Linked DNA regions of Xenopus tropicalis. The protein of the gene in region 3 interacts with the protein of the main gene of each other region in a biochemical or structural test. Links are inferred from orthologs where the notes say so. Each region holds a gene or a part of one and is shown on either strand. Other genes may lie near its edges.

Region 1 (7,386 bases), on a different chromosome or scaffold from region 3:
GAGGATCGTCTTGTTTTAACAGGGCTGCTGGCTGTTTAAAATTTGTTTATACATTTTTCCTTTAAGAATCCTTAAGTGTGGTGGCTGGACTATCATGATATTTGACAGTATTCTGATGAATGCTGGGAGTTGTAGTCCAGAAAAATTAGGTATAAGAACACCATTATTGAAGGTTTATGACCCCTTTCACTTCTATTCAGTTCTATCAGTTGTCCTCATAAAATTAATAATATATGGAATGTGTACCTAGCCTTTTGTAAGCTCCACTTGGGCAGAATATCTCTCTATGCAATCTGTAACATATTGGTTCTATATAAATAAAGGATAATCTCCTATCATAATGGAAATATATTTGTCATTGTCATTTTTGGAACTGACACAAAGTATCACGGATAAGATAATGACAACTGTATCTTAATATTAAGATAATTTGTATCAATATGACAACATTATTCAACTGTTAAAAGAATACGGAACTTGATTTATGTAACGTGAAATGTTTATTTTCTTGCTATAAAACAATAAAAAACTATAGGAAAAAATTAATAAATAAATAAAGGATAATAACAATAGCCTGATTATCAGTTCTGCAATTCATTCTGCACTCACCCTCTTTAAAGAGAATGTACAAAGTTCAAAAACCCTAGAAATACAAGCATTATGCACTCACAAATATATAAAGCTGAGGTTCCAAGTGACCTGGATATGATCTACAAAGAGTTTGTCTACCTGTGACTGTGTGGGTTTTATCCAGGATCTTTAGTTTCCTCCCAATCAGCTAAAACATAGAGCCAAGTTAATTGGCTAGTGGTCCTAGTGTGTGTGCTGAGTAAATGTGATATGCTCCATCAGTCCCTGCTCCATTTGGGCAGGGTCTGATGTGAATGATGCATAATATGTAAAAGCTGTGGAACATGTTGCTGCTATAACAATAAAAACTGATTATAGAAATATGCAAAATTAACTAACATACAATCACATATATTGCTACATTATCATGTATTCCTTAACCAAAAGAACACTTATTTAACGTAGACGTCTTCTAGCCTGTTGTAATCTGGCTTAATACCGTGTCTGCTGTTTCTTGATCTGATTCTTATAATGAGCTTCTCCTGTCTAAACGTGACCTCTCTGTTCCAGCGTCAGATTAAGACTATATTGGGCTGTACTCAACACACGAGTCTTCCAGACACCATGCCCTAGATTGAAATCAGTACACTTTGGCATTTCAAGTATACAGAAACCTAAACACACCCCATAGGCAGAATATAAAATCTATTCTAGCTATTGGCAGAATATCCAGATTTACTGTCCATTCCTGTTTTACACCTTTAAAATCCAACAGGGCAATGCTATGCCCACATATTTTTTTGTTTTTGCAGTCTTTGAAAAGCAGTATACAGCAGCTTTATATCAGAAAATGCCTTTATTGGACTTGGCCCGACCTCAGATAAAGGGGGCAGTCTTGCACAAGTGCCCCACCATGTCTTCATTTAGCAGAAAGCACAATTAAAAGATCATTTGCCCTTCACTTGAATTTATACACTGTCTTTTAAGTTCTATTTTAATTTAACGTTTCTATAAACGTTTAATTGAAATAATTAACTAAATTGATTTTTCTGTACACTCTTGTGTATCTACATATTTGTTTTGTATGAATGACAGCTCCCATATTTAGCCAAAACATGAAAATGGAAATATTCTTGCTTACATATACTATTAGTGACCTGGACTAAGCAGATCACATACATTACATTGTCCTTGTTTATTAAGAAACAAAAGTTATTTCTTTAAGTAATCAGGAATTCTGCAAAAAATGACTCAATTTTTGCCTCAGGTAAACATCTTTTAATTCAAGAGTACATCGCTACTCACTCTGCCTCCTGGGTGCTAAATACTGCAGCTTCTGTAGAAAAGAGCTATGGATCCATCCCAGGTTGTGTGTAAAATTGCAGGTCACCCCTTTATAGAGAAAGGAAACCTTTGTCACCCTACTATTGTAATGCCACTGGGTCCATCTCCCTCTTACAGTAATATGCACCTGAAACCAAACTTACACACTTCATTGAAATACATAGAGTCATCACCAGTCCTCTGATATAATCAGAAGCAGAGGAGCAGGAAGCATTGAATGGCCGATGGGTGAGACAGGGACAGTCAATATGCCCCTGGATCAATTTGGATTTGGGCTGGCATCTCGGTTATTAAGCTTTATTTTCACGTTGATCTTATTCTTTTCTATGGAATTAATAAGACTACTTGCCTTATAGAAAACAATGAAACCACTTCCAGGCTGTATGCAGTGGCTACTTATTTTCTTGCTCAATTTACAGCCCTGTGTGTACAAATAGCTGTATATAAATATAAAATGTGCTTACATAAATCACCACATAAGACACCAGTTTATGTGTGTTGGTATAAGAGCCAATAGTTATTTTGGGCATGAGCAGCAGTTTTTCAAGAGACAGCGGCGTATGTAGAAGTTACTGCGCTCTTTATAAAAAATCATTTTACAGTTTAACTAAATATTCAGGGGCCTATAGTGTTAACATTCCCAATAGCTTTAAACCCTACACTTCCTTATTTCACTATTACTGGGCGGAAGCCCATGTATCTATCTTGCTATAAGGATGTTTTGTATCTTTGGCCCATGAGACTTATGATTACTTGCTGCACACTGTAACATAGTGTTCAGCAGGAGGTGAGAACTTCTTATTTGGCCTGCATCTGTTGAAACAGGTACATGATCAACAAGGCCTCAGTAAAGCCATCTATCTCTAGAGAAGTCGGGGAGCAGGGACCCTGTGAACGAGGATTTAGTAAGTGCAGGATATATTCTCCTTTACAGTCTCCACTGCCTAATTGAAGGGGCCACAGTTATAACAAGGGTATCAGGCATAGCCTTCTCCCTCATATATGTCTGCTGTTTGGGATCTGGTCCATTAAGGTAAGAAACTTTAAGGAAAAAGATGCCCTACAGTGGTGCATCTTTACATTGCTTGCTCTGCATTTAACGTGCCAATCTGTTGCCCTGCATCTGCATTGTGAGTATTACTGCATTAACCTGTGGACCATTTGTCTTGGACAAATAAACTGAGTTCTGTTTGAGTTTGCTGCAAGAACCATCTGGTACCCTTTATTTCTTTATTTTTGCACACAGCATAAGTGAATTGTAGTTGCACAACTACATGTCCCCCTTGGTCCTTTCACATAACAAAGGCCCATCCTGTGTGTTAGTCAAGTGTACCCCATGCTCCATAGCCCATCTAGCTGGTCTTTGTTTTGCAGCCAAAAAGGGGTTGCAATTATAAGATAGTTTCATAAAATGTTCATTAGTCAGTGACCCACTAGGCACACAAGCGGTAGCAGAGTACCTATTCCCCTCAGCTGACAGCCCGGTTCGACAAGCCTCTAATCTCCACACCAGCCCTGGCACAGAGAGATAGAACAGCAGCCCTAAGAGAGCACAGCTAGGGCCAGGGTAATGTTGCCTGTCATGCCCCACAGATGCCGGTGGTGGCGCTGTCTCTCCAGGAGCACCGTGCCCAGGGAACACCATAAGAACAAAGTTACTGTGCGAGCTACTTATTATTATAATAATTAATTAAGACCAGTAACATGTGCATGCGTTAATAAAGAGTGCTGTGTAAATGCGGATGTATGCAGCCCCCCTGCTTCCAATTGTTCGCATGTTTCTCGTAGCTCTGATCAGGAACTCCCTGAGCCCCGGTGCAGCAGCAGGCCCGGGGCTGCCATCCTGCCTCTAAGCTATAGCTGCTATGTGCGAACAGGCAGCGCCTCAGCCACACACACATGTATACTCTCCCTGTGCTAGCCTTGACTGACAGCTTCAGCAGAGGGCTGCTGACGTCAGAGCTGGCTCCGGTTGTCAAGGGCAACCTATTTGGCAAGCGAGCTGTGAAAAAAAGACAGGGAATAAAGGGCCCGCCCAGGAGGCCTCCTGCTGCTCTGACGTCAATGGACGTTAACTGTGAGAACATGATGCCTTGTGCATAGAGCGGTACATTGGCTTCCTGCTGCACAGCTGCCTCCACTCCCTGTGTCTGGTCGCACGCGTGCTACAGCGACTAACAATACCTCTGTGCAAGTGAATGGGAGCTGCACAATGCTCGTTACTTTGCAACACTTTAGCCGTAAATCTGCCTGCAACGACTTGATGAGCTGACTTTATCGGACCTGTGAAAACTCAGCCCGATTGGTTGCGTTTTGTTTGCATGTTAATGTCAGACGTTCCCACCTTGCATGGATGTGTGAGAGCTCATTCGGGTATAACCGTGCTGAACACATGGCAGGAGCTGGACAATGCAAGCAGTAACGCGTTCCATTTGGGAATTCTTCGCCACCATCAACTTTACAGAAAAGTCTTGCGATTGTATGTAATGTGCGGGCGCTAGAAGCTGAATGTAGTTTGCGTTGGGTTGCACTTGCCTATAAGGAATGGCTAAGGTGAGCCCCCTGTGAGCGCCTGTAGGATCTGCCTGCGATTCCTTTCACTGCGACTTGTTGGGGGGTGTGAGCACTAATCGTGCCGGTTGATGTCTGTTTCCCGTTGGAGCTTCCTGGCCCGGCTCCCAGCATGGTCATGGCGGACTGTCAGAAGCCTGTACAGAGGGGTCCTGTCCGGGTCGGATTTTATGACATAGAACGCACTTTAGGGAAAGGGAATTTCGCGGTGGTGAAGCTGGCGAGGCACCGGATCACCAAAACCGAGGCAAGTACTGGCCAAATGTCTGGCTAATAACTTGTGTGAGCTTCACTGCATCCCTCTGCTGTTCTTGCACTACAACTCTTGGCGCAAAACTGCAGCGTGTTTTAGCGCAATAACAGCTGGGAAGCCGCTTCTTTTACATTTCAACTATTTCCATTTTCTATTATGCCAATAAGGGCATTTTCTGCCTATTGCCTTATCCCTGCAAAGTGCTGGGCACCCAAATGTGACAGTGCTGTGTTCTGGTAGGGAGTGTTGCTGCTGAGGACTTGCTGGGCACCAACTTACAGCATTACCTTTCCTTAGCAAGTGATAATGCTGGACATGTAATTATGGCATTGGTGTTACCTGGTAGGTGCTGGGCAGTGGCACCTATTTATGGCATTGTTTTACAATTGTGAGAGTGTTTGCAGTGCACCCATACTCCTTTACACTAGTGAGGTCTTATGTTAGACATCCAGACATGCCTTTGCATTACCTTTGTAAGTACCATTACTGGGCTTTTAAATATGGCATTGCTTTATCCTGGTAAAGGCTTTTGCTGGGTTCTCCTATATGGCATTTTTCCCTTTAATGGTTAAGCTTGTGGTGTCTAAGTATGGCATAGTTTACAGGGTAAGGTTATTGCTCTAACTTGGTAAGTGTTATTTTTGGGGATCCAAGTGTGCCATTGCTTTAGCCTGGTAAGGTCTGCTGGTGGCCACCTAAACGTGACATTTCTTTTCCCATTAACAACTGGTGTCAACTATGACACTGCCAAGTAAGGGTAAAGATAATAAATAGTAAAAATAAAAACATCTTGCCAACTGCAATAATAAAATTTTTATTTTTTATTGATGCCACATTATATAACTATAATTTCTTATTAATCCAGAGTCTTTAAAATCACAGTACAGACCTGCTTTGTGTGGCACCATGGAGACAATAAACATATTAATTGGCATAGAAATACTTTAGCAAACAAAGTTTGGGTACAAACAGCTTTTATTTTGCTAAATCTCATTACATTGCTTACTGTTTCGTGGCCCAAAGACAGCAAAGTCAAACATAAAGTACCAGCATCTTCTGTCTGGGAATACTAGGGGTTTGGGTTCAACAACCGCTAAGGTTTGCCAAACATGCTGTTGCTTTTCTCACTTACAGCCAGAGTTACAGGTGACTGGCAAAACCTACTCGGCCAAGTATCTTATGAACTGCACTAGTAACCAATTTGTTCCCTAGAATCCAAGAACACCGGTTCATGTTTACCTGCTGATTTATGAGCCACCTAGCAGGTTTAGCCCCTCACTTAATACCGCAGGTAAAGCTGTGCATTAATCCATAGTACCAATCAATTTTTCCTGCTTTTTCCAACTGCATCGCACTGATTAAAGGTATATCTCTGGCTGCTATTGGTTACTGCAGCATTTCAGTGAAGCATCTCTCTTAGAGAATGGGTTCATGGTTTGTTTGTTTGCCCAGTGTGTAGTTTTTATGATAAGTCATCTGAACAGAACATGAATTCTGCATTTTAGTTATGTTGCCATAAAATGCCTTGTAGTCACAATCTCAGGTATAGAAACCAACTCCAGTCACACTACCAAGATTGAGTGACACTCTATCTAAAAGGTGTACACTGTGGGTTTTTTACCTGTTTCTGGGTCATGTAGTTCAGCCGATCAAACTGATACAGCTAAGAAATTGATGTCATCTGATGGCCATTTATATTTTCCTGAGACCTGTAGTCTCTTAGTATCACTTACACCAAGGCAGATTAAATGTCACCCCTTGCATCTTGTCATCGGACCTCTGTATCCTGTGGCAATGAGATGCTCTTACAGTTAGAGAGCTGGCAAGGGCTGAATGAGTATTCACACAACATTATTTTTCTTCTATCTGTGATGCATTACTGTATTCTATACATAATACTTTTACTAAACGTTTAAACATGTCCTTGTGTCAAGAACTAGTTAAATTGTTATTAAAGGGGATATAAATCAGTGAATAAAAGTTTGCCAGATTTGAGAGATGGTAATCCTAAGCAATTTTCAACATGTATATGTGAATTGCCTATTTATAATAATTATAAAGTTATTTTGTAAATATATATGCTATGAATAATAGTATCTGTTTGGCCCTTTGTTATTAGGACTTTTGAAACAAGGTAGCTGAAGCCTGCAAGCCATGCAAGGCTGACTTCTGTTACCTTGTTTGAAATGACAAAACGAGCAGTGCAGAAATGGAAAGACAAGTGCTGCTTTCAGTTGCAAATTACTTTAGAACTAGTGAAAAATTTTATGAAATGTATATTGGAAGGTTCCTTAGAATTAGATTCTTTTATTAGAAATACTTTTTTTGGACTGTGGGGGAGATATTTTTATGTTTAAATTTTAACATTCTGCCTTATTGTGGCAAAAACAGATTCATTTGTAATTTTAATTTAGTGTGCTTTTGTATGTAAAAATAATATAAGCATTGTATTGGGGCCTATATAGAGTTAGCACAGTTCTAAGAGGCATTTTTTAGTCTCCAGTTACAACTATACCTCCATACATCTCTGCACATTTCTGCCTCAACTTATTCCTCATGCAGGTGAATATCTTGCGAGCCAGGTTTGCTGCCAACAATATCTGTTTAGTTTAGATATCAGTGATCATTTTTGTTTGTGACTTGCAGTA
Region 2 (7,691 bases), on a different chromosome or scaffold from region 3:
GAAACTTAGGGTGACTTCGGCAAATTGCGGTCGATTTACATTCTAGCCAGTGGGATGGCATTGCGGGGAGATTAGTCGTTGCGCAACAGATCTTTGTTGTAGCGGGCGACTAATCTCCCCGTGTGTCACTACCCTTAAGGTGGCCATACACGTGGCGATCTGACGATGTTTCGTACGACCATCGGTCGCACGAAACATCGTAAGATCCGCCACACACCATTCAGGGCTGAATCGGCAGGTAAGGAGGTAGAAACAATAGGATTTCTACCTCCTTCTGCCGATTCAGCTCTGAAGGGAGAATTTTGGTCAGGCGCCTTCTATGGCGCCCGATCAAAATTTTCAAACTTGTCCGATCGGCGAGTCGTCCGATATTGGCAGCTTCCTGCGATATCGGTCGACTCGCCGACATGCCATACACGCACCGATTATCGTACGAAACGAGGTTTCGTACGATAATATCGGTGCGTGTATGGCCACCTTAAGGTTTGCTCTTATCCTTTACATGCATGAAAACAAACACTTAACAGGTTAAAGACCATCTCTACTCATTTTGAGTAAATTACATTTATGATTTAGGTGTCCCACCTATTTCACACTATCTATTCATGGGTCCAATCAACTCAGAAGCCACATGTACACAAAATATATCAGATAGCCAATATGTGGCACTCTATAACCGTTTCCATACAGCTCATATGAATCTGTACGTCTCATATGGATTTCTCCAATGGGTGTGACAGTCAGAAAGACTTTTCAAGCCAAAGTAAATATGAAGGGTATTGAACACAACTAGCTCAAGGTTTTCTATGCAATTCCGTGGGTTATGATATGCTGTTCCTCTTGACAAGTTGCATTAGAATTTAGTCTATAAAACAATATTATAAAACAGGGCAATTTTAGTGTGGAAATACACTTTTTACAAACTTAGAATCAGAACTGCTGCCATGGCAAGGTTAAAAAAAACCCCAAAAAACTAGAACCTAAAGGTCAGATGTGGGTTGATTAAAGGGGGAATGGAAGAATGAAAAAAAAAAAATGAGAACTGACATTGTTTTGATCTTTCTGAATTCCCCACTGACTTATGATTCATGGTCCACATGAGTTCATCTGGACAATAACATCTAGAATAACAAGACAAGTTATATGTGGGTGGGGGCTGCCAAGTACTCAGACCCCCAAATTTGCAAAATTCTTAACAATTCTTGTTGGTGGTTATTGTTTGCCATGACAGAATTGACACAATCTAGATCTCTAATAAAACATCCCACACATTCTGACTAAGAGTTCTGCTAACTATACAATGTATTTTTCATAGCAAACCTTCACTATTTCTATTCTACAAATTATATATATATATATATATATATATATGTGGGTGCAGGATAGACCTGTCAGTGGACACACAGTGGATTTTGGTGCATAAGTGCAAAAGCATGCATTTTTGCACCAAAATCTGCTGTGTGCCCTAACAGGATGATCCCAAGCATGTCAAAGGCAGCATATTTGGTTTTCTCTACTGGCGTAAATACAACCCAGGTGCAAATATATAAAAATCCACAATTCATAAGGTAACCAAATACACACTTATAAAAGTATCTAAATCTGCAACCCTCATCTAACAGTGAAACCTAACTCCTCATCCAGCTTAGATTTTAGTGTCACCTGAACCAAGTAAATTATACTTAACTGATCATTTCTTTAAACTTAGACATTTTTAACAAATGTTGCAGGGATTTATAAAAAGGACTGTTGCTCCACAGGAAATCTTTTTTTCAGTTTTAAGATAAAGAGTGTTTTTTTTTTATTAATATACAGAGTTTTAAAGAAGCATATATTTCCAGCAACACTGTGTAATTTTAAAATGTTGAATACATACTGTTCATATTAATTCCCTTGGTATTGTATTAGGTAATTATTACATGTTAAATATATTAACATTGATTCTGGTAAAATTAGTCTGTGATAAAGACAAAGGATAATATTCAACTAAAAAGCTTAACAGAAGTGTCAATATTTCTCCCAAGGGAAGAACATCTAATAGACTTCCAACTAACTGTCGGAGGATGATCGGGGTTTTAGTTCAATATCAGAAGGAGCTGCATTTAGCCTACTGCTTCTTTAAATTATTACATTTTACATTTAAAAGTGCTACAGCAAAAGCCACTGAAGTTCCCAAGAATCTCCAGACACTCAATGCATAACCAGCCTCCTAAAAGCATATCTAGTCTTTTGCTGTCTTGTTGACGAAGAAGTAAGTAATAGCATAAAGCCTAAGACTAAACCCACATAATATGAAAAGCCCAATTATTCTCTTAATAATCCCTGCTAGGATCTACAGAACTGAAATACAGTTGTGGACATCACAAGAATACAATAATAAAAATGTCATATATTGAACTAAATCCATGTAAGCCCAAAATACATCTCTTTATTCTGAACAAAAGGATGTTGGGTTTTAAAAAAAAAAAAAAAAAAAAAAAATACCACAGAACATCTTAATTGCAATAAAACACAAATCTAAACACACGTAGATACAAACAAGCAGTATGTAACGCAATCAATTATTTGATGCATTTAAAGGGGAACTCCGCGCCAAACACAAATTAAGCTTTTTGAAAAATAAACATAATTTCAAGCAACTTTGCAATATACATCAATTCAAAAATATGCATCTTTTGATGATTTTTAATGTAATAATATGGTTTGGAACAGGTACCTAAGCCTGGCCCCCTGTTCTCCTGCTGATCTGGCTGACTACTTTGAGATTAAAAATAAAAATTTAACAGTAGTCGACTGTCCTCAGCCTGAATCCTCCAAATCTCACAATTCCCTGCACACGTGATGTCAATAAGGAAAAGAACATCACAGTGCTTTGTGGGTAATGTAGTTCCTGCATTCTGTCTGTAAGCTGTGGAGAATTTTTTTTTTTTTTTTAACATGTGTTTTAGTCCCTCCTCCCCTGCAAATGATGCAGAAAGGGAAGAACTGTTTTGCAGCTTGATTTCAGCATATAAAAATGGTATTTATTCAGTGATATGTGGGGCTCTTTTAAAAATGTTGGTTCCAAAGCCAGAGTTCCCCTTTAAGTGCGTTCCAACCAGCATCTCAAACATGTAAGAAAAAAAAAAACCATGTGTAAGGGCCCTTAATATACACATTAATGCTATACTTGATCTCTCATTTGTCCTGCCTTACATGAACCTCATTTAAGGAGAAGGTGGGCACCAAGCCTCACTCACACCATTTGATCCCCTATATACAATGTAGGATCGAATGTGTCTCCTAGTATTCATGTCCCTGGGTCAACTGTACCTTCCTTTATAAGAATGAAAAAAATCACAAAACGAATTGTATAACGCCACTGTTCTTTTAAAGACCCTCATTAGCAATGGGCTTTAGATAAGACAGTTAAATATGGTAAAGGAACCAAGCAGCCACAGTGGAATGTCTAAAGGACACTTCTGAAAGCGCAGACAGAATACACCGGGTACAAGTAAGGGGACCTATGTGATTATAGTATTCCTTTAACAAGAGAACGCAGACTATTTATTACTGTATATAGAAGCACTCGCTGTTGTTACCCCTACAGACACATTAGCATTCACGGTTCAGTACTTAATGAATGGAAATGCTGCGAGGTCTCGGCTCATGACAAGGCTGCGCTGTTATTCTCTACCCACAGAATTCCATAAACTACCGCCTTGCCGAGAACTATTATGTCTAACCCACACTGAAACCCGCCGATTCCCTGCCGCTTGAATCTTCAGAGCACCTGATGCTCCCTTTCCAACCACTCTTGACTGACACCAACCTTCCATTCCTTCCTAGCCAGGAGTAAGCATGGCGGCCGGCCGCTCCAGCATGGGGAGAGAGAGTCACGTGGGCCAGGCGCCGGCCTGACGTCATCGTTGTGTTGATTTGCTAACCTTAAAGGAGAGAGGAGTTAGTGAGCATGAGAGCGGGCACTGCGAACTGTTTGGATTAGGCTGCTGCTTTAAACAGCGCATCTCTACTCACATACATGCCTGCAGAGAGAGCTAGCAAAGGAAGAAGCCCATCTGAGGTGAGTGCAGCTAGTGAGCCTTTTATTCCTACAAAGTGAGCTACTCCCTAAACTTATCATAAGGGCATTTCTTATTGATAGCGGCTACAAGAGGCTGTGATTGGATTGAGTGGCTGAGTACAGTAATACAATACGCTGGGTTATAGTGTTCTGATACAAGCATGCTCAACCTGAGACCTTGCTGCGTTATAGTTCTCACTGTACCTCGGCAGCCTCCGCTTGTCTGGACATTGTGGGAAAGGTAACCCTAGCCGAGGGTGGGTAGGTCACGTCTGTGTCTATAGCCATGCTTGCACTTACACTGAGGGGAGCTTGCATTGCTCAGGCTCCGGAAAGTCGGAGTTGCGCTGGGTACATGCATACTTCATGACGTTTGTCTGTTTCCCCTTTACACTGACAATGCAAGCATATTATTGTCCTGTACGGGTTTAGTTGTGCACGTTAAGTGCTCTCCCTCCATCACTTTTTATAGTGATCCCAAGTCAACTTCAGCTGCTGCTGTGTGAGATCCGTGCGCTCTGCATGGCACAAAGCGCTGGAAAAGTTCATCAGAAATCCCGAATTAGCTGCTTATTGGCAGGATAGCGCTAATTGTGTATGCGCCGCCACACTCCCGGCACACAGGAGCCCCGTTATTATCCTTATGATCACTATTATTAGGTGAGGATAGAGAGCCGGTGAGGTGCACACTTACTGAGTACTGACAGAGCTATGGCTTGCGAATACTGATTTGAGGGATGCTCTATTGTGCACTGCAGGAAAGGCTGCGATACAGTTCATCATCTTGGATTAGAATTCGTACAGATCCACATCTGGTACTAATACAGATCGCTTTTCTACAAGGCACAATAGGGCATCCCTTAGCCCCAGCGCTGTCCTGCCATCCTAGGCGCAGGCTGTCCCAGTGGGTGCACATTGATTATTGTTAGTGTTATCATAATGTCGCACACTGATTCTGAGAGCCCCGCTGCCCTACCATTGAGCAACTCACGCACATTGGGATTAACTTTAAGCGCTTTGTGCAATGCAGGGGGCATGGCGCTATTTCGCTGTAAGGTGCAGACTCCTCCGTGCGCTGCAGGGAGACAATATCATTTCTTAGAATAAATTCCGTGCGCTGCAGGGAGACAGTGAGATTTCGCTTTCCTGCTGCTGCTCTGAGACGGGCATGGTGTTTGCACTTGTTTGTGTCTGCTGGTCCAGGTTTTCTTTCGGGAGATGGGATTCTATAGAGAAACTGTGATTTATTGCGTTTTATATAGATAAACAATAGAAAATTGCGTTTGATCACCCTTGGATTGTGACATCAATATCTTGCCATTCCCACTGTCTCTTTGCATTTCATCTGTTGAATGAAAACCCGAGCTTTTCCCTCCGCTCCCCTTTTCTCGTGGAATATTTTTATTTTTGTGCATTTTTAGTATTATTCCTGTAGATTTCATTCATATGTGTGCTTTCCATTGCTTCCCTCTCTCCCCATAAAACATCATGTTCTCAATTCTATCCAGAATTTTGTTATGAAACTGCCCCGCCCCTGTATCCCTGCTGTATCTGTCTGTACAGTGCGATCTATCTGGATCGGTCTGGCCGCTAATTCCATTCTATACGAATCTTTGAGCTGGATACCGGGCTCCGTGCGCTAAAAGCCCCGCGTCAGTATTTGGTGCTCTCTACATTTCTGTCACTGTATATTGGAGGTGGGGTACGGCAGAGAGGACAATTGCAGGATATTGTCAGTATACATTTCACTGATTTTAGCCTGCAACCTTCTAGCTGTTGCTCTACTACAACTCGTAGCATCACCAGTAGGAGGGTGCTGGGAGTTGTTGTTTCACAGCAGCTGAAGGGGCTGCAGGTTGGATAACCCTGATTTGTTGGCCCTTCACCTCAGGTTGCCCTAACTGAGCTGCTCTTATTATTAAGTGACATCTTGTCACATTGCCTCATATTTTACTTATTTTGAACCCCCCCACCATTAAAACGTCTTTCCTCCAAACAAGGGTTAATATCCGTGTGATCTAATCTTCATGTTATTTATGCTATCATGGGTTTTTATGCAACATGTATGATTTCCAAAAACTTGATGTGCCAGGGGTTTAAATAGGCTAAATCTTGGCAATACACAACTGATAAAGAACTTTTAATAGTTCACTAATTAACCCTTCCAGCTCATCAAAAGCAGCTTTGTTCTGTCACAGGGTGTCTTTCCGACCCCCCCACCCTTCCTCCCATCCCCTGTCCAAAGAAAAACAAACAGGAGACTCACAACTGAAACCAATAGATCTGTTTGTCCTTGTTGCAAACCTCCAGGCTGGTGTCCTTGTTTGTAACAAACCTTCTCCTGTATGGGCATTTGCATGGGCATCGTCATGGGCAGAGCTCGCTTTGCTTTATTCTTTATACAGTACATAAACCATAACTTGCTGCCTCAATTGCTTTTTTTGCTTGTTCTTGAAAATTTGCGTGTTTTTTAACAGAGACTTAGCAGTTTCTTCTGTAAAACGCTTACGCACCCATAAAAGTCTGCAGAAATAGAATTCTTTTATGGATAGAGGTAAACTGTAGCCCATATTTTATCACTTCATAAATTATGTGTAACACTGCTTCCCAATCCCACCCATCTCCCCCCCCCCTTTTTTTTGTCTTTAGCTGTTATTGTAGACAGCTCCCTTTTACAATCAGTGATCAATTAGTGTGTATTATCTTATGCCCTGATTGATAAGCCACACAGGTGTTTGCTTTTAGCCCTCTGTCAAGGTATTTTAAAGTGGTAGAGGAAATATTTGCCTTTTTCCGGGTGACATCACAGTTAAGAGCTGAGGTTTATGGGTCTTTGTGTGGCTCTGCATTTATCCCGGTGACCCTCACACTGTATAACTGCCTGCTACTTCCCAACAGACAAAAACATTCCTGCTATTTGCACACACAATAGTACTAGCCACTATTGTGGGATCTGTTTTCTTAGCTCTCTTACCCTGATTTATTATTTGTTGTGTCCAGTATTAATGTGTTTTATTTTATTCTGGTGATATGAAAGCCTGTTATAACACTCTTCACTTTTAAAAAAGGTTTTTGACTTTGAATGTTAACTGCTGGGAACATTTCAATTACAAGGTGGAAATATGTTTTAATGTTGCCTAGATAATGTGGCAGTTCTCATTCTTGCTAATTTAACTTAAATAGTTACTCATGAAGCCAGTTATCTGAACTACAGATGATTTCCCCTACTTTTTATAATACTCTTACAGATCTCTTGATGCCATGCTACTATGTGATACTTGTTGGGGGATATGAAGAAGACCTACATGCTTTTCTGGTATGCTTTAGTTTGTTCATGCGGCTAATTGTAATGAAAAGGTTTAAGGGTGCTTGGCTTTGATACTTCACAGAGCTAGATACCGTAATACATAGCTAGAGAAGTCCACTGGGGGGAATTATTTCTGTACTTAGGCAAGGTGTAACAAATGTGTATGAAACCCAATCATAACATTCCATTTAACATTTAAAATAACATTTGAAATTATTTTTTTTTTTATTTGGCCAGTATATAATTGAAGAAAAATGTGTTCTTTACCTCTTAATTCCTGGTGGGTCACATGCTGTAGAATTTTTTTTGGCTTTGCTACAA
Region 3 (6,893 bases):
ATTGTGTTACCATGCCATTAAAATAAGCCAGCTAGGGAAAAGATCACATGGTTTAGATCCCCTAAAAGCAGAACTTCATTACAATGGAGGAATTGTCAGGCCAGAAATCAATGAAGGGGAAAAATACACATACATGGAAATGGAAAGCATACAATCAACAGATGACAGCTACCCTAGGGAAGTAATAGGACCACCCTGATGTTTGGAAATAGTATGGGTGGGTCACAGACATCCCCAAGATAAGGGCATGCAATGTGACCAGAGTAATTAAAATAGTATTGGCAAATAATGACAGAAATATAGCTAGGAAAAGTCAGTATGACAGTCCATTGGGTGTCATACTCCTAGATACCCCAAAAGCCCAGCTAAGGTCAGTCAGCATACAATTTGGGTCAAATCTTTTACATTGGTGAACAGACATACAGTGGATATTTTCACACCCCTGGTAAAATGTCAGGTTCCTGTGCTGTACAAAAATGAGACAAAGATAAATCATTTCAGAACTTTTTCCACCTTTAATGTGACCTATAAACTGTACCACTCAATTGAAAAACAAACTGAAATCTTTTAGGTGGAGGGAAGAAAACCAAAAAAACTAAAATAATGTGGTGTACACACCCTTAAACTAATACTTGGTTGAAGCACCTTTTAATTTTATTACAGCACTCAATCTTTTTGGGTATGAGTCTATCAGCATGGCACATTTTGACTTGGCAAGATTTGCCCACTCTTCTTTGCAGAAACACTCCAAATCTGTCAGATTGCGAGGGCATCTCCTGGGCACAACCCTTTTCAGATCACCCCACAGATTTTCAATCAGATTCAGGTCTGGGCTCTGGCTGGGCCATTCCAAAACGTTAATCTTCTTCCAGGGAAGCCATTCCTTGATTTGGATGTATGCTTTGGGTCGTTGTCATGCTGAAAGATGAAGTTCCTCCTCATGTTCAGCTTTCTAGCAGAAGCCTGAAGGTTTTGTGCCAATATTGACTGGTATTTGTATAATACCTTTTCCCACATGTTTTTGGGAGACTTCAGATGTGTTTTTGCAAAATGTAGCCTGGCTTGGATGTTTTTCTTTGTAAGAAACGGCTTTCCCCTTGCCACTCTACCCCATAGCCCAGACATATGAAGAATATGGGAGATTGTTGTCACATGTACCACACAGCCACTACTTGCCAGATATTCCTGCAGCTCCTTTAATATTGCTGTAGGCCTCTTGGTAGCCTCCCTGACCAGTTTTCTTCTCGTTTTTTCATCAATTTTGGAGGGACGTCCACTTCTTGGTAATGTCACTGTTGTGCCATATTTTCTCCACTTGATGATGACTGTCTTCACTGTGTTCCATGGTATATCTAATGCCTTGGAAATTCTTTTGTACCCTTCTCCTGACTGATATCTTTTAACAAAGAGATCCCTCTGATGCTTTGGAAGCTCTCTGGGGACCATGGCTTTTGCTGTGGAATGCGACTAAAAAAAGGAACCTGACATTTTACCAGGGGTGTATAGAGTTTTTATATCCACTGTATATCCATTTATGACATTAACTTTAGGATTGCAGAGCTACATAAATTCCCATTCCCATTCTCACTGTACTGAGAATGAGAAGAAGCAACTCCAAGGCTGTCCTGGGAAGAGTACAGAAGCTTACAGACTTCTGGGTTAGGAACACTTTAGATAAGCTTACAAAAAGTTTGGGGATGGGAATACATTAGGAGAAGCTTTTATAGAGCTCCACGTTGAGGACACAGTAGAAGAAGCTTGCAGAGAGTTTGGAGATGGAGGTAGAGAACAAGAGCTTTTAGAGAGCTCCACATTGAGAACATAGATGAAGAAGTCAGCATAAAGTTTGGGGACAGGGGTAAAGATTAAGAAGCTTTGAGAAGCTTTTAGAGAGCTCCACATTGGGGACAAAGAAAAAGAAGCTTGCAGAGAGTTTGGGGATAGGAGTAGAGAACAAAAGCTTTTAGAGAGCTCCACATTGAGGAAACAGTAGAAGAAGCTTGCAGAGAATTTGGGGATGGGAATACAGAACAAGAAGCTTTTAGAGAACTCCACGTTTAAGACACAGGGCAGGAATATTGTGGAATAATGGCACTATATCAAGCTTATGTAGAGTTCTGGAGCAATGGCATAGTTGCACAGTTAAGCTAAGGTCCTGAGTGGTCTATACAAACCTTGTTGAGGTGTTGCTGGTCCAAGTAATGCTGGTGTTGCAGAACCAGTTGTTGAAGCGCCTGAGGACTTTGCGGGAGAGGAGAGGACTGTGTACGACTTAGGGGACGATGCCTTGTGCCTTTGGTGACAGAGCGTAGGGAACCAGAGACTCGGTCTCCCCCTACTAAGGGGGACTGACCATGAAGAGGGACTGCAACAAAGAATAACTAATAGTAATGAAAAATAATTTGACTGACGAAGGAAAGTCTAAATATTATTTGATTCCATAAGACGGAAGGAAAGCAAGTTAGGAAACTTGAGGAAATAAGTCAGGTTATAATAAGATGGGTGAATGAAGAAAAGAAAATGTAACCGGGTGTCATGAAAAGAGAGAGAATTTAAGGATAGAAAAACTAAAGGAGAAAAATGAAACCTTGAAAGGAAAAGGGAAAAGAAAAGCAGATATTCACCTGTTATGAGAGCGCTCTGCTGTCTAGCCTGCTCTAGTAAGAGAACATGCTGTAGGAGAGAAGGTGCCGTCAGGGTACTTATCTCACCCCCATCCAGGGCAGGCAGTGGAGAGGTGTTAATGAAGGGACCACCTGGGCGCAGACTCTGACGCTCTGCCCCTTCCTGGGGGCTAAACTGACCCTGAGGAGAGAACCTTAGAAGTAGTAAAGGTCAAGTCATCATGCCTGGAAATGATACATTTCTAAAAACCCTCTGTAAATGTGCAAAGGTTTTCTCAGACTGTAAACATTACTTCCATTTCAGTCTGGCTACTCACAGTTAGGCTGCTGGTGCTCCCCTGCAGGCAGATGTTGGGCAGTGATGGAGAAGTATACAACCCGAGAGGTCCACCCGCTCCTTCCAGAGCCAGAACTCTCTGCTGAGGAAGCATCTAAAGAATTTAGAGTACAATATTGTCACTGGTTAAGTAGTGACCACTGCAACACAAAACAATTTTCACCCACCATGTTCAGAAGCCCTTGTACTATTTAAACTATCCAGTCATTTGACCCTTCTCACCTCTTCCAGCTTCCATGCTGGTCTGGACTGGTAGTCAAAATAGGCCCTGGCATTCTATGTACACAGAAGCCCTAACAGCCCCCCACCAGTCCACTTTCTATTGCATATTACAGCAGCTCCTCTGGCATTTGCCAGAAGCCACAGATTGCCAGTCCGGGCCTTCCATGCACATCTTTCCCACAACTTTTACCCTAGGCCTCCCTTACCTCGCTGGCAATATTAGGCACGCTGCCAGTCAGTCCATTCTCACATATGGCACTGTTGGAGCTGTTTGGCGAGCTCGGCCCAGATCCTGGGGCACTATTGCACACCGAAGACACTGCGGGAGGAGCACCAACATCTCAGCGATGAGACTTGGGTTTCAGGGGAACAGGAAAAAAAGCAATGGAGTGCAGTAGAACTAAAGTGACTGTATGAGCAGTATGGGGTGAGGAATGCAATATATAAAGGATAAGTAGAGGCAAATATGTGGGTGCAGGTAGAAGGAATTCAGCAAAGAGTAGCAGTAAAGAGTTGCTTAAAGATTGTATCAGTTCCAGCATACCCTGGATTTCAATGGCTCTTTTCTTAAAAGCACTGATAACAGTTCCATCCTTTCTTCGAAGCAGAGGACTACTCCGACGTTCTGCAACTTTCTGCTTTAATCGGGATCGGACCTTAAGATTAGGTTCCGAGGCTGCAGGAAAACATAATAAGATTTTGAATAACATCCTACACATAAACCTTAGCCTCAAACTCTTCACTGATCATTCTCCCTCAGTTTCTCTGGTGCCCAGTATAAAACCCAAGTTGGATATACTAACCAGTTTTGCGGAGAGGAAAGTCATCACGTCCATCGCAGGTTGCAAGGAGGGATACCTTATAGGATGGGGGAGTTGCTGGTGACCCAGACTGAGGAGGGGAACTATGGTCCAGTGAGGTATGGTGCGTGCCCCTATGACAAAAGAATGGGACACTGATATGCCATGAGAAAACAGATGAGAGGCCATAAGGTAAATGAACATTTGGTACATATAAAATAGTGAAATACAGTTATAATGGGGTAATGCTACATGTTAAATACAGCAAGAAGGCACAGAGTTGCAAAGATTAGAGCAAGATACTAAGGGAAAGGGAGGAGGAGAGGGTGAGAACATATTAAGTAACAAAATCCAAGGAAAGGAGAGATGAAGATGTAGAGTAGACTGCAGGTACTTGAGGTGACAGTGCAAGTAAAGATGAGAATTAGATGGAAAGAGAAGTAGAAAATAAAGATGGGAAGAGCACTTAAGAAAGCAGCGAATACCATGTAGTATGAAGGAGGAATAAAGCAGGTTTCAGGAGTGCAAGAAACCTCTTCTAGTTCTCACTTACCAGCACTTGGGGTGCTGTAGGATGGAATGGTTCACATTTCCAGGTACCTCCTTGGACTTACTGAGCAAAAATTCCTGTAGCTTTAGTTTCACCTCTGTGCTGGCAATAGCACCTAACAAAAACCAGAGATTACACACTAGTAAAGGATTAAGCACCATGTCTCTAAATAAGATGAATGTTCTGCAGCTTCTGATCATATTGCCTTGCCCCCTAGCTTAATTGTATCCCCTTTCCTTAATCCTCTTACTTTCTTTGCTCTTCTCCTTGTTCCTCAGAATCAGAAGCTGCTGCTCCAGTCGCTGTTTTTCAGCCTCTTCCTGCCTCTGCCTTTCACGCTTTCTCTGCTGTTCCAACTCTTGCTGTCTCTTAGCGGCCATGATCTCCTGCTGTTGCTGCAAAAATTCAAAAAGACTGGGGTGAATGCTGGAGCAGTGATCTCCAACCAGTGGCTCGGGGGCAACCACTCCCTTTGATGTTGCTCCCAATGGCCTTAAAGTAGGTGCACAGAGACATAGTTTTACTCCAAGCAGAGCCTCCTGCAGGCCAGCAGTCCACATGGGGCTACCAAATAGCCAATCACAGTCCTTATTTAGCATCACCAAAGAACTTATATCATGCTTGTGTGGCTCACTAACACTTTTCATATTTAAAGGAACAGTAACACCAAGAAATGAAAGTAATTGAAATATAACGTACTGTGGCCCTGCACTGGTAAAACTGGGGTGTTTGCTTCAGGAACACTACTATAGTTTATATAAATAAGCTGCTGTGTAGCCATGGGGGCAGCCATTGAAGCTGGAAAAAAGGAGAAAAGGCACAGGTTACATAGCAGATAACAGATAAGACACCATTGTATTCTACAGGGTTTAACTGTTAGCTGCTATATAACCTGTGCCTTTTCTTCTTTTGAATGGCTGCCCCCATGGCTACACACCAGGGTTTATATAAACTAGTAATGTTTCTGAAGCAAACACAAAACTTTTACTAGTGCAGGGCAGCAGTGCATTATAGTTTAATTTCTTTAAAATATATACATTTTTTGGTGTTACTGTTCCTTTAAGGTGTGGCTAAAAAAGGTTGGGGATCCCTTTGCTGGAAGATGGCAATTCAACATAAATAACACAATTCTCTACCAGAACTGACAAGAAAAGGAGCAATGTCTGCATATGGTTATAAGAAGAAAGCTAGTTTGGTTGAACAGATAAGACGACATCCCAATCAGAGAGACAGCCAAAAATCTTTATATGGGGGAAAGGGCAATCTCTAAGGAATATGGAAAAAAGAAAAGTAATTTCTATAAGTTGTGGGCATGATCCGGTGGGAAATGCTTATATTTAGCAGGAAAGCTACTAGTCAAAAAGCCGTCATATAAAACTGATAAAGAACAAACATTTAAAAGAAAGGAATGGGCTACAGAGCAGTTCTGCTACAAAATGCTCAGAAAAGTGTTGCAATTCATTTAAGGTTTAGTTTACTACAAGGCACAAAAATGGATGCCCGGGCATGTTAAAATACACATATTCATCGTGCTTGTGCTCATATAGTGGAGGAAGAAACATGTTGCCAGTAGTACTTACTTCAAGGGGCATGGTGCCAGTTATAATATACATAGGAGCAAAGGAGTCCCGGACTGAGCAACACAGTGAAATGTACTGATTATTTAGACTATGATTTAGTAAATGAGCCCAGTGATTCTTGAGCTTTACGGTGGGGGGAAGTTAAAGGGACCCTGTATGAAGGTGTTGGTTACATGGGTTTCACAAGCCACCAAGAAAGGTTCCACACCTTAAGGTGTTTCTGTAGTTGGACCTCATGTTGCCTTGTCAGGTTTTCGTGCTGCTTTTGGAACTCAGCAAATAGAAGCTGCTTCTGGAGTTGCTGCTGTTGTTTCAGGAGAAGTAGCTGCTGCTGGAGCTGTTGTTCCCGACCCACTGGGTCCAGGATACCCCCAGAGCCGCTGCCGGACCTCGGTTCCGCTCTCAGCTCTCCTGAAGTAGGCGATAGACTGCTGGGAGTGGGTACTGCCGCAGAAAGGAGAGGAGAGACCTCCACTGTTTGGGAAAGACAAAAGAAGGCTGTAGGTCAGTAAAGGCATGTAGCACTTACAGTGTACAGTGTAGCCTCACAGCGTTCAATTAAAACACGTGGGTAGTAACCCATCTGCTACACATGTGATTATTGCCCCGGATCCAGAATAAATATTGTAATACAACTAGTACGTATAATAATACTAAAACAAATAAAAAAAAGAACAGGAATTTCTTGTGACAGACAGGTAAAGGCCACTCTGCAATTACCTATTTAGTGTTACCAATTGGATCCTGTCTCTCAAAATTTAAGAATTTCCCATGTTTTTC

Evidence for each region. The genes of interacting proteins can lie anywhere in the genome.
Region 1: of the proteins of hdac5 (region 3) and sik2, one has a biochemical effect on the other in vitro, tested with the Homo sapiens proteins (2 studies listed by BioGRID). The link is inferred for Xenopus tropicalis from reciprocal best matches to the Homo sapiens genes HDAC5 and SIK2.
Region 2: the proteins of hdac5 (region 3) and zbtb16 form a complex in vitro, tested with the Homo sapiens proteins (2 studies listed by BioGRID). The link is inferred for Xenopus tropicalis from reciprocal best matches to the Homo sapiens genes HDAC5 and ZBTB16.

What each region holds. Positions count from the first base shown.
Region 1 is NC_030683.2:84,187,967-84,195,352, forward strand, and holds the start of sik2 (serine/threonine-protein kinase SIK2), read left to right. Parts: upstream 1-3,528; 5' UTR 3,529-4,597; coding exon 4,598-4,732; intron 4,733-7,386. UniProt on the Homo sapiens protein: Serine/threonine-protein kinase that plays a role in many biological processes such as fatty acid oxidation, autophagy, immune response or glucose metabolism.
Region 2 is NC_030683.2:85,509,982-85,517,672, forward strand, and holds the start of zbtb16 (zinc finger and BTB domain-containing protein 16), read left to right. Parts: upstream 1-3,833; 5' UTR 3,834-4,063; intron 4,064-7,311; exon of another isoform or gene 7,312-7,379; intron 7,380-7,691. UniProt on the Homo sapiens protein: Acts as a transcriptional repressor. Transcriptional repression may be mediated through recruitment of histone deacetylases to target promoters. May play a role in myeloid maturation and in the development and/or maintenance of other differentiated tissues.
Region 3 is NC_030686.2:18,405,699-18,412,591, forward strand, and holds part of hdac5 (histone deacetylase 5), read right to left. Parts: intron 6,588-6,893; coding exon 6,322-6,587; intron 4,929-6,321; coding exon 4,784-4,928; intron 4,649-4,783; coding exon 4,537-4,648; intron 4,118-4,536; coding exon 3,987-4,117; intron 3,860-3,986; coding exon 3,728-3,859; intron 3,503-3,727; coding exon 3,390-3,502; intron 3,056-3,389; coding exon 2,942-3,055; intron 2,806-2,941; coding exon 2,625-2,805; intron 2,366-2,624; coding exon 2,175-2,365; intron 1-2,174. UniProt on the Homo sapiens protein: Responsible for the deacetylation of lysine residues on the N-terminal part of the core histones (H2A, H2B, H3 and H4).